Linked DNA regions of Tamandua tetradactyla. Each later gene encodes a partner of the first gene's protein in a complex. Links are inferred from orthologs where the notes say so. Each region holds a gene or a part of one and is shown in the gene's direction. Other genes may lie near its edges.

Region 1 (3,750 bases):
CGGCCATTTTGAATGAAGCTTCCCAGTTGGGCCTTCTGAATAGTCAACTATAAGGCAGAAGTTAAGAATCTGAAGTAGCAACAGTTCGGTAGTGTCGGAGTTTTCAGATGTTTCCAATTCTATGCACACATCTACTTGGATGACATTATTCTAAAGCATTTTGTACAGATCTTTCATTACATGTTTATTTCCTCGTTATTGTTAGAAATGGTCTGTTTTTTCCTAGGCAGTGGCAGTCAACTTCCCCCTCAGTTGTCTGTTTTCCACTGTTGTCTGGTATTCTTCATGGCTTATCTCCACAGGAGGAAAAATTTTTAACAGACCCAAAAGTTAAGATTTTATTCACAAATCTTCTTTGTTGTACAGAAAGTAAAAGTGCTATTACACACTCAGTGTAACCAGTGTAACTGGTTAGGAATCCCCTGCGCAGCTAGCCATGCTACAGCAAAGGCTCACATGAAAACCTCACAACGCTTACAATTTTATTGGGGTGAGACCCCCTGAGCTTGGCAGTAGATTTCTAAGATGGACTGAGGAAGGGGGAATGCCGTAGGAACTATTCTTAGGCTCTTTGAGTGGACGAGTTTTCTAGGGTTTGTATCACAGCTACCTTTAAAAAAAAAAAAAAAAAACAGCTACCGAATCCAAAAGAGTGGTCCAACCAGTACTGAACAGTTCTTTTTTTGCAGGTTATCTGAAGTCTTAATAGTATTCTCCTTCATCGTCTGTTTCTCTCTACGTCTTTTCACCTTTCCCGCTTCTTCCTCTCTTTGTCTTCATCTTCATCCTCACCCCCTTCGCCTTCATCGACTTCTCCATCGTGTCCAGAATCTCCCTCCTCCCCTCCGCTGACTTCATCTTCATCTTCTCCCCCTTCTCCATCTTCATCCTCTCCATCGTCAAACTCTTCGTCCTCGGCCACACCGTCCACCTGGGCATCCGAGTCGGGGCTCCGGGGCCTCCGGTCGCGGCCGTCGGGGTGGGTCAGCGAGCCGGGCCTGAGGCTCCCGCGCAGCCCTTGGGGCCGGGGACCTCCAGCCACAGGCCCCGGCGCCCCAGACAGCCCCGCTGGGTCAAAGCTCCCAAGGTGCTGACAGCTTCTGACCATTTCCGCTTACGTCCAGACGTGTGAGATTCGGAAGTTTTTCCGCTACCATGTGCAGATCTCCCAAGATTCTCCTGTCACTAAGCTCAAGTTTTTTCAGCTGAGGTAGTTTGAGAAAATTTGAAACTGAAGTCAAGGTTATATTTGCCACGCTGAGGCACTCTAAATTCACAAATTCAGCTGCGAAACCCTCAATTTTCCATCGTTTGATTTGCAATTGTCCAGGACAAGTTCTCGAACCGCCGCCGTGTCCGGTTCCTCGGCTCCAGGTGGATCCTCCTCTTCTGGTCCTTGGCTCCTCTTCCCGGCTCGTCAAACTTAACTTTCCGCCGCGGGGGCGAGGGCAGAGCGGCCGGGCCGGCCCGACGAGGCGCGGCGAGGCGAGGCGAGGCGAGGCGAGGCGCAGGGAGGCTGCAGGCGGCGGCCGGGTCTCGGGCCGAGGGGGGAGAGGCGGAGGGGCGGGGGCGGAGGGAGAGGTGGCCGGGTCAGCCCGGCGAGGCGAGGTGCAGGGAGGCTGCAGGCGGCGGCGCGGTCCCGGGCCCAGGGGGGAGAAGCAGCGGCCGGCGCGGCGAGGCGCAGGGGAAGCTGCTGGCGGCGGAGCCCCCGGGTGCCCGGGACCCGTGGGAGCCGAGAGAAACCCAGGAAGGAAAAGGGGCTGGAGCGCGCGCGGCTGGCACTCCCCACAGTAGAAAACTCATTCACTCCGAATAACAGCTTCTCTTAAAGATCTAATGTTGATGCTCAAGGAAGTACCCGGGACTTAATAGGGGCCCTTTAAGAAAGCTTAACTTTCCTGTGGGGGAAGGGCCTTATAATGCATTCAAAACAAACCAAGGAAAACTAGCACTGGTGATCTTTGCAGTATCTCTGGTGATAATGTTTCGGATGTATCTTTTAAAATGAAATCTCATATCTGAGATTTCTATGTAAGTCTCCTTTGCACTGTCCCCAGATGCTTCCAGCAGCTCGGCCAGTTCTGCCAGGCTCTGCCTGCTGGGAGGCAGTAGTGCACAGGGCTCAACAGGTGCCCTGTGGTGGGAAGCTCCTAGGGTCAGGTCCTTGCCCTGCCTCTCAACAGCTGAGTGACTTTGAACTTCCTTTCCTCATCTGTGCAATATCCCGAATAATTAGCACCCACCTTCTAGCTAAAATAACAATAGTAGTGGATAATTATTGAGAACTCTGCAAGTCCAGGCACTATTCTAATTGCTCAAACTGCATATCTCCCATAGCTCCGCTCATGTGGGAGCTCCAGTGCTCCGCGTTTTAAAATCCTCTACATTAAATTCTGAGATCAATAAGGTTGAGAGTCAGGTTCATGTTTGGCAGACTTCATTCTGTCACTCACTAGCTGAATGAGCTTGGCCAAGGGTTTCAACCTCTCTAAACCTCAGTTTCTTCAGCTATAAAATGGAAATAAAAATATTATGCACCTCTGAGAATTGTTTGGCAGTTGCAAAAGAACTATTTAGGTATGTCTGGCACACAAACAGTTTGATCAATGTTAGCTCCTGTCATTATTAAACCAACTCCTTTTTCTCAGGTGACAGAGAACCAGTAATTTCTGACCTTTTTTCCTACATTACTCTATCTTTACTTAGATTTGTTGCTCCTCCGTCCACATGGTTCTTTTCAAATCCTGTGTTGGGGTGGGTGGGACTGGGGGTAGGGGAGTTTGTTACAGCAGAAAAATCCTTGTCTTTAGCCCAGTAGGACTGAGTTGAATCCAGGTGACTATTTGAGCCTCAGTTTTCCCATCCATAACATGGGAGAGCAATCCTCAGTATTGCTGTAACAATTAGAGATAATTCATGTAAAGGGTGCAACATATATATAGTTATTGTAAGAATATCGGTGTTCTGGTTAAAAATATAAAACATGAAAACAGAAAAGGCAGAAACCCCTTTAAAAATTGAAACAGGAAACAGGCAGAGAGTGGGAGAGTGGAGGTTGAAAAAAGCAGAGGAGGGCCTGGGGTTCAGGGCCCTGGGGGACCCACCTCAGTATTACCATCATTCCCAGCTCTGCTGGTCACTGTTGATCCCAAGGGCCCTGGGGATGGGAACTAAAGGGTTGTTGCCCCTAAGGGTTGGACCAGACCTTCCCTTTATTGTGTAAACTCTCTCCACTTTTCAGCCTGAGGCTGCTTTGATTTAAGATAAAACTGAAGGGGTTGGAGGGGCCTAGTCTGTGGCTTCGGTGCTGAGATTTGGATCAGAGCACAAAGGGAAAAATCCTCCCCTAACCCCTTTCAAGAGAGAAGGGCATTTTACTTGCCACGGGCTCAAGCCTGTCTTTGAAAATTACGGGGGTTATTAATACTAAAAGTTGCCAGTGTCATGCTTTTCAATAGAGCAACTTCCAGCTTCCTGGCTGTTTTGTTGTTGTTGTTTGCAAATTAATAATTGTCTGCCATCTCCCTCTTCTGAATAGTTCGATTGAACATTGAACATTTTGCTTCATGGTGAGTTGTTTCTTTCTGCGGTTTCAAAATAAAGTTTACGCTGTTGTTTTTTCTGTTGAGGAATTCTCTCCCATGCTTGGTGATGATCAGATGCTGTCTTTCTGCTGGAAGATAATGATTTTACAGGTCTCCCTTCGTTTGTCTCCTCTGATTTTTTTTTTTTTTGCCTTTCTTTTTTTTG
Region 2 (3,750 bases), on another chromosome or scaffold:
TGTGTCTCAGGGAATAGGGAGAGCTGAGGAGAGGAAAAGGGACAGGGGAACAGCCAGCCAGTGGAGCAGTCTGAACACATATGACATTTATCAGTTAAGTTTGCTGTATTATATGCGCATGGTTTGTGGAATCCCAAATTATTTTCAAATTTATGATTTAAATTTTGTAATAAAATAGATGGAAACAAAGGAGGCATTTGAAGGGTGGGGTGGAATTAAAACGTGTGCTCAAAATGTCCTCTTGATCCTGAAATCTAGCTAGATGAACATGGCCTTGATTTTTTTTCTTTTCCTCACTTCTAGGCCATTTTATATCAGGGGTTCTGAGCCTGAAAAGTTGCTTCTGACCTTTTGCATCCTTCATGTTTTTATGTTAAACAGAGAACCATCCCTTGATTTAGGAAAGGAGATGAATAATCACACTTTCAGTTTCATCTGGAGAAGCAGTATCTCACTGAATAGCTTGGCACTACCCAGTTTTATAAAATACATTTTATATATACAAAATGCATGTAGTTCAACTACAATTTGCCTGGAACCCTAGAATGGGGCCTAAAATGGGGGTCCAGAGGAGTTGAGATAGCTGGCTTTGCCAGTGTCTGTACTCAGGATAGGAATAATAGGTGCTTATTTGTAAGTCTGCGTGGAAAGTCTGCCTTGATGGGGACTGCGTTCTTAACCCTGAGGCATGATCACTATAGTGGCCAAGACGAGTTCAGTTCCTACAAGACATGGTGAGCTCTTTTCTTACGGGATTTGAGTTCCAGATCGTGTGCATACCAGACAGCCCAAACGATCCATAGTAATATTGCAGTTCAAGTACTAGTCCTCAATGTCCAAGGGCAAACTCATATTTTTCAGTACTGTTGTATTCATTACAGTTGCTAGGACTCAATCCGAGGCAATGGCAAAAAACATCTGCAAGAAAACTATAACTACCTCCAAACTCTTGCTTAAGGAATGGAGAGCTAAGAAAGCCTGCTATAACTACTTAAAATTTCCAGGAGATGAAGCTGAGCACATAAATGCTAAATAAATATCTGTTGAATGAAGGGACAGATAAATGAATGAATTTAATATCAGTTTAAATTTCTTAATACAATCTGTCAGCTTTTCTTTTACTTTACATTTAGGTTGACACCATGCAGGACAAGCACTTGTGGTGGGAGATAGTTGTAGGAGACCTGACACTTAACTTGTGCCAAACCCTGGGTTAGGTTATCTAGACTTTATCTCAGCTCTACCTTGCCCTGCTCCAAGGTATGGAGCACACATGATGCTAATATGATCACCGATATCTCCTCCAGTTACTTCCTCTCCTTCGATTATCTAGCAGGATTTATCAGCTCACTCACTTCTCTGCATGACTTAACCATAATTACAAACAGCCTCAACCAAGGCTATGGGAATCTACTGGCCCATATGGAAGACAAAAAGGAATGTTTGAGCAGTGGTTCTCAAACTTCACTGTGCAGCAGAATCACCTTGGAGAGCTTTTTAAAATACTGTTTGTGGATGCCATCTTCAGAGTTTGTGATTCGGTAGTTCTGAGGTAAGGCCTCCAAATTTGCACTTCTAAAAGTTTACAGGAGACGCTGATGCTGCCTGCCCGGGGACCACACTGTGAGAACCAGTACTCTAGGTTGTGAACTTCCTTAAAATTTAGGAAACAAAATAGAGAAGGAGCTATTTGCTTTCATTTCTTCATGCTAAAATGTCTTTGGCTGAAATTTCAAGTTGGGAGGAAAACTGGTCAGACTTGTCTAAGACAAGAAACAGAAAGTTAAGAACTTTGATGGGAGGAGCCTTAAAATCCTGCACATTGTTAAATGCAAGAGCTGGTTAACTTTCGAAGTGAAACAGCCAGTAGCACTTTTTCCTTGTCTTTCAAAATCTCTTCTTACCATGGCCCACCATTCTAACTAATGAAGAGCTCTAGCTAGTTCTAGCTAACAGTCGTCCCTGAAACTCTGAATTCACAGCTAGGCTGTTGTGGAAGAGAGCCAGTAAGGTAAGGCCCCTGGGAAATTTTCTACAGAAATCTCAGGGGAATCAGTTGCTAATCTGAACATCAAGAGAAATAGTGATTATGGGTTTTTGTGGTGGGAAGAAAGGCTAGTATTTACTATATCCAAAAAAGAAGAGCTGTAGGCAATCTGATCTTAAACCTTCAGTTGACTGAGGAACAGATGCCATGTTTTATTTCACCATAAGGTGAAATAAAACTTTAATAAAAGGAAATGCATTTGGCCGCAGCAAGTGTTGGAATAAATTGTTCAAGGACTTGACCCAGAATGAGCCTAAGAGGAATTCTGGTTTTCTGGGTGTGTTGACCTCCAGGTTGCTTATTGACATGAGTTTATGTTTAGAAGAGGGCTTTTGATATCTGGCTTATGAAGGAGAGAGAGAAACTTAGGATCTGGGGAGCGATTCCTGGAAAAAATACAAGAACAATGGCGTGTCAAAAGGCCTATTCTGTGATATTTGGTTAAAAACATCAGAGCACAAAATTGTATTTTACAGAGTTCTTGCAATTAAAAAAAAAAAAAACCCACAGCAGATAAACTCTCATTCCACAAACTCAGATATGCAAGGAGTGTGGATTTATAACATTTTTCTGTTACACAGTAATTTCTATTTCCTCTAGTCTGTTAGAGGTCAGAAAATGTATTTCAGTCCATTTAAGGTTGGACCCCAGTTTTCCCACAGTCATGGCTAAATTCCTGGAGTTTGGGAAACCAGTTATTTTCATATTATAACTATTCTTTGAAATTTGCCAAGGCATCTTTTATAGTTCTTTTGAATATATAATAAATATTTCTAAGTGTTCCATCAGATCAAAATTGTTAATTGTGCTATTCAGCTCTTTTATATTTTTGCGGATTTTTTTGATACTTGAGCTATAATTTATTGATAGAAATTTGCTATAATCTCCCATCATCATGGTGTATTTGTCAATTTATTCCTGAAGGTTTATCAATTATTGTTTGTATCTGTTGAGTCTATTTTGTTAGGTACCTACATGTTTCGAATTGGTATATTGTTTTGGTAAACTTAATCTTTAATCATTGTAAGGAAATGATATCCTTAATGATGCTATTTGTCTCAAAGTCTTCTTTGATTGATAGTAATATAGTTATACTATCTGCCTTTTGGTTAGTATTTGCATAATGTAACTCTTCCCATTATTTCTTCTTCAACTTTTCAGTATTTTCATGCTTTAGATTGTTATCTGTAAAAGCATAGGAACTGGATTTAAAGCAAAATTTTCTTATTAGAAAAGTTGCATGAAAAATATTGCAGAAAATACAGAGTTCCCATATCATTAACACCTTTTATTAACACCTTGCATTAGTATGGTACATTTGTTATAACTGATGAAAGAATAATACTATAATTGTACTATTACCTATAATCTCCTTCTGGGAGAATAAACTCGTTAAAGTCTCGGAAGACTTCTTCACAACTTCACATGAGTGATAGGCATTAGATCCGAGGAGAGTTCAGAACTTCCCTTGGTAGAATGGAAATGGAGAACCTAAAACATAATAAGATGGTTCTTTGGGTGGATTAACTGTGGCAGTAGTGATAAAATCCTTTGAGGGAGCCATAAAAGAAGGTTCTCTGTGTCCATCCATGGCCACCCCTCCTGTTCCCCATCTAAAGAATTGAAAAGTATTCTCTTTAGACATTAGCTGTAGTCTACAGGCTTAACTCTCCTGCGCTGATCATCCATTTTGCCAACCCCGT
Region 3 (3,750 bases), on another chromosome or scaffold:
ATTATAATGGGAAGACCTTGAGGACACTTGAATATTATCTTCAGTCTAAGGAGGAAAAAATCAGATAAATCTCACTTGAGGGATATTCTTCTTGGAATAGAATTTTCAAAAGCACCAATATCTTTTTTTTTGTCTTTTATTTTTTTCAATGTAACAACATACAAACAGGAACATTCTTGCCATATGATCATTCCATTCTTGGTATATAATCAATAACTCACAATATTATCACATAGTGGTGTATTTATCACCATGATCATTTCTTAGAACATTTGCATCAATTCAGAAAAAGAAAGAAAAAGAGAAAAGGAAAAACTCATACATACCATACCCCTTACCTCTCCCTCTCATTTATTGCTAGTATTTCCATCTATCCAATATATTTTAGCCTGTGTTTCCCGTATTTTTTTCTATACCCCTTATCATTGCCTTTCATTGATCACTAGCATTTCAATCTACTAAATTTAACATTTGTTCCCCCTATTATTTATTTATTTTTAATCCATGTGTTTTACTCATCTGTCCATACTATAGATAAAAGGAGCATCAGACACAAGGTTTTCACACTCACACAGTCACATTGCAAAAGCTGTATCATTATACAATCATCTTCGAGAAACATGGCTGCTGGAACACAGCCCTACATTTTCAGGCACTTCCCTCCGGCCTCTGCATTACATCTTGACTAACAAGGTGATGTCTATTTAATACATAAGAATAACCTCCAGTATAACCTCTCGACTCTGTTTGGAATCTCTCAGCCATTGACACTTCATTTTGTTTCATTTCTCTCTTCCTCATTTTAGTCGAGAATGTTTTCTCAATCCCTTAATGCTGAGTCCGAGCTTATTCTAGGGTTTCTGTCCCACATTGCCAGGAAGATCCACACCCCTGGGAGTCATGTCCTATATAGAGAGGGGGAGGGCAATGAGTTTGCTTGTCGTGTTGGCTGAGAGAGAGAGAGAGGCCACATCTGAGCAACAGAAGAGGTTCTCTGGGGGTGACTCTTTGGCCTAATTTTAAGTAGGCTTAGCCTATCCTCTGTGGGGTTAAGGTTCATATGAACATATCCCAAGATTGAGGGCTCAGCCTTTTGCTTTGGTTGTCCCCACTGCTTGTGAGAATATCAGGAATTCTTCACTTGGGGAAGTTGAATTTTCCTCCTTTCTCACCATTCCCCAAAGGGGACTTTGCATCAATATCTTGAAGAAAAAAGAAGGCTGGGGAAGGGTGGAAGTATTCTAGCTAAAGGGGGACTATAGAGACATGACAACTAAATGTGACGCATGGTCTTTGACTGGATCTTGGATTGGGAAAAAAAAAGCTATGAAAGACACTATTAGTACAATTGGCAAAATTTGACTATGGACTGATTGTAGTACTGTTAACAATGTTATAATTGTATATTACACTTGAGTGTAATAATTGTATTATGAGGATTTAAAGTAATATCCTTGTGTCTTAGTTCTTGGGAATATTTAGGGCATTTGGAGTGATGTGTGAAAATGTTCTCTATTGCCCAATGGTTGGGGGGGGAAGAAGTGCATGTGTATGTGTGTGTGTGAGAGAGAAGAAAAAGCAGCAAATATAGCAAAATGCAAACAATTGGTGAATCCAGGTAAAGAACATGTTGTGTTATGTTCATTGTATAATGCTTTCAACTTTTCTGTAGTTTTGAAATTTTTGTGTTTTTTTTTTTTTTTGAAATTTTTGTTGTTGTTGTTGCATAATTTTTAAAAGTAAAAAGTTGGGTAAAAAAACCAAGGCGTGCAAAAAGACAGAGGCAGGCAATCAAGAGCAACCCACCCCACCTGGAGTTTCCATTGACGTCCGGGCCACCTCTGGGCTCCACGCTGGCCTGCACTCCCTTGAGGACCCGGTGTCTGTTTTCACTGTCGCACTCCAGCATCCTGGCACTTGAGTTTGGTAGATGTGCGTGGAAGAGTGACCTGGGGCTCCAGGGAATGTCCACCCTGCCCTCCAGTGAAGGCAGAATCAGGAGCAAAAAATCAAGATGGTGGTCGCAGGCTTTGCACTTCAAGGCCTTGGCGTGGTGAGAAGGTCCAAACAGCTGAAACTGCATCAACGGAGGTGCCACCAGGGCTCGTCTCCTGGCAGTGTCCTGCCTGCCTCAGCAGCCTTCTTGGACAGGGCAGGGAAAGCTTGCAGGCCTGTATTTGCTGTCCCTTCTCTTGCCCTTGGCCCTGGAGGGCCCATGAAACCCCAAGAGTCTGGAGGAGAACAGCTGGCCAGAGGGGGACCGGGAGCTCTGTTCTCAGCCCCACCTCCTCCGCCAGCTCTGTGTCCTGGAAGGAAGAGAGAGCAAAGCATCTGAGTGCCCACCCTAGGACCAAGAACCTGGAATGGCACCCAGCCAGGCCTTCCATCACCGCCTTGCCCACCTCTTTGCAGCCTAGGCAGCAGAGGGGAAAGCTGGGGGGCCTGGAGGTATGCGTGGCTGCAGGACACTGCCCCCTCCGAGCTGGAGACATAGAACACCAGCCGGTGTTGACACACCATGACTTCAGTCTCAGTTCCCACCAAAGCTCGGTGCACTTCCTGTGCCTTTTCCGTTATTTCTCAAGTCGGCTCTTCTTGCTCAGACACCGGGCTCCAGACAAGGGGCCTCTTATGCTCCTGGCCGGCTGTGGCCTCTCCTTGGTCCACGCCATGGCCAAGACCCCCAGTGACCATCTGCTGTTCTCCCTGGAGGACCTGGTGCCCTATGACTTTGAGAAGTTCAAGTTCAAGCTGCAGAACACCAGCCTGGAGAAGGAGCAACCCCGCATCCCCCGGGGCCTGCTGCAGATGGCCGGGCCTGTGAAGGTGGCCTCTCTGCTCATCAGCCACTACGGGGAGGAGGACGCTCTGCGGCTGACCATGCAGGTGCTGCGGGCCATCAACCAGCGCCTCCTGGCCGAGGAGCTCCTCAGGGCCTCGGGGAAGGGTAAGGCAGGCCCCAGCCCCCACCCGCTGCTGTCCGTGGGAACTGGGAAGGCGGACTGGGAGCTGGTCCGCTGGAAACTCCAGACCCGGGAGATAGAAATCCCAGGTCTCCCCACCCTCGGTGGACCTTGGCCAGGCCAACCCCTCTCTCCTCCTGGGTCCTGGGACCTGGGTTGGTAAAGAGCCTGAGGCTCCTCCTGGCCAGGACTCTGGAGGCTGAGAAATCGTCCCTTGACTTGCGATTTAACACGTGTGCAGACAAGTCACCTCCAGGTAGCAAAAAGGGCTTGCTAACCAAGCCTGTTGTCAGGGGTTGGGATGTGATCTGCTCACTGTTGGCCGCCTCGTTTCAGCTTTGAGTTCTTTAACACCCTTTAAAAGGGTCTTTATAAATTCTAAGAGGATTTCTTAATTCTTCACCCCTTCCTTTTTTCGTTCCTTTCTCCCTGTCTTCCCCCCTCCCTCCTTTCTTTCCTCTTCCCTTCTTTCTTTCCTTCCTTCCCTCTTTTCTTTTCTTTCTTTCCCTCCCTCCCTCCCTTCTTCTATATTTTCGTTTCTCTCTTTCTCCACCTTGTTCTACACCCTTTTGTTGTACCTTTCTAATTTTATTTCATTGGGATTAAAGCCATTCACATCTGCCATTAAAGGTTTTTTTTTTTTTTGAGATTTTCTTGGGGCCTAATACCAGGTCAGTTAAAACCTTTGGTGTTTGAATTTTTCTTTTTCTAGGTTTTAAGCCTACATTAGAGACATGTTTCTATGAGGTAGAACAGTTTAAGATCGCAAGGTTTCTCTCCGTTCCTT

What was found. Proteins that work in one complex are often made in the same cells at the same time.
Region 2: CASP8 (region 1) and AIM2 share a complex: the UniProt entries of both Homo sapiens proteins name them as parts of the AIM2 PANoptosome complex. The link is inferred for Tamandua tetradactyla from reciprocal best matches to the Homo sapiens genes CASP8 and AIM2.
Region 3: CASP8 (region 1) and MEFV share a complex: the UniProt entries of both Homo sapiens proteins name them as parts of the AIM2 PANoptosome complex. The link is inferred for Tamandua tetradactyla from reciprocal best matches to the Homo sapiens genes CASP8 and MEFV.

Annotation. Positions count from the first base shown.
Region 1 is NC_135329.1:175,796,899-175,800,648, forward strand, and holds the start of CASP8 (caspase-8), read left to right. Parts: upstream 1-1,139; 5' UTR 1,140-1,210; exon of another isoform or gene 1,211-1,535; intron 1,536-3,750. UniProt on the Homo sapiens protein: Thiol protease that plays a key role in programmed cell death by acting as a molecular switch for apoptosis, necroptosis and pyroptosis, and is required to prevent tissue damage during embryonic development and adulthood.
Region 2 is NC_135330.1:12,188,289-12,192,038, reverse strand, and holds the start of AIM2 (interferon-inducible protein AIM2), read left to right. Parts: upstream 1-1,362; 5' UTR 1,363-2,011; intron 2,012-3,750. UniProt on the Homo sapiens protein: Sensor component of the AIM2 inflammasome, which mediates inflammasome activation in response to the presence of double-stranded DNA (dsDNA) in the cytosol, leading to subsequent pyroptosis.
Region 3 is NC_135349.1:54,087,284-54,091,033, forward strand, and holds the start of MEFV (pyrin), read left to right. Parts: upstream 1-1,059; 5' UTR 1,060-2,631; coding exon 2,632-2,947; intron 2,948-3,750. UniProt on the Homo sapiens protein: Involved in the regulation of innate immunity and the inflammatory response in response to IFNG/IFN-gamma.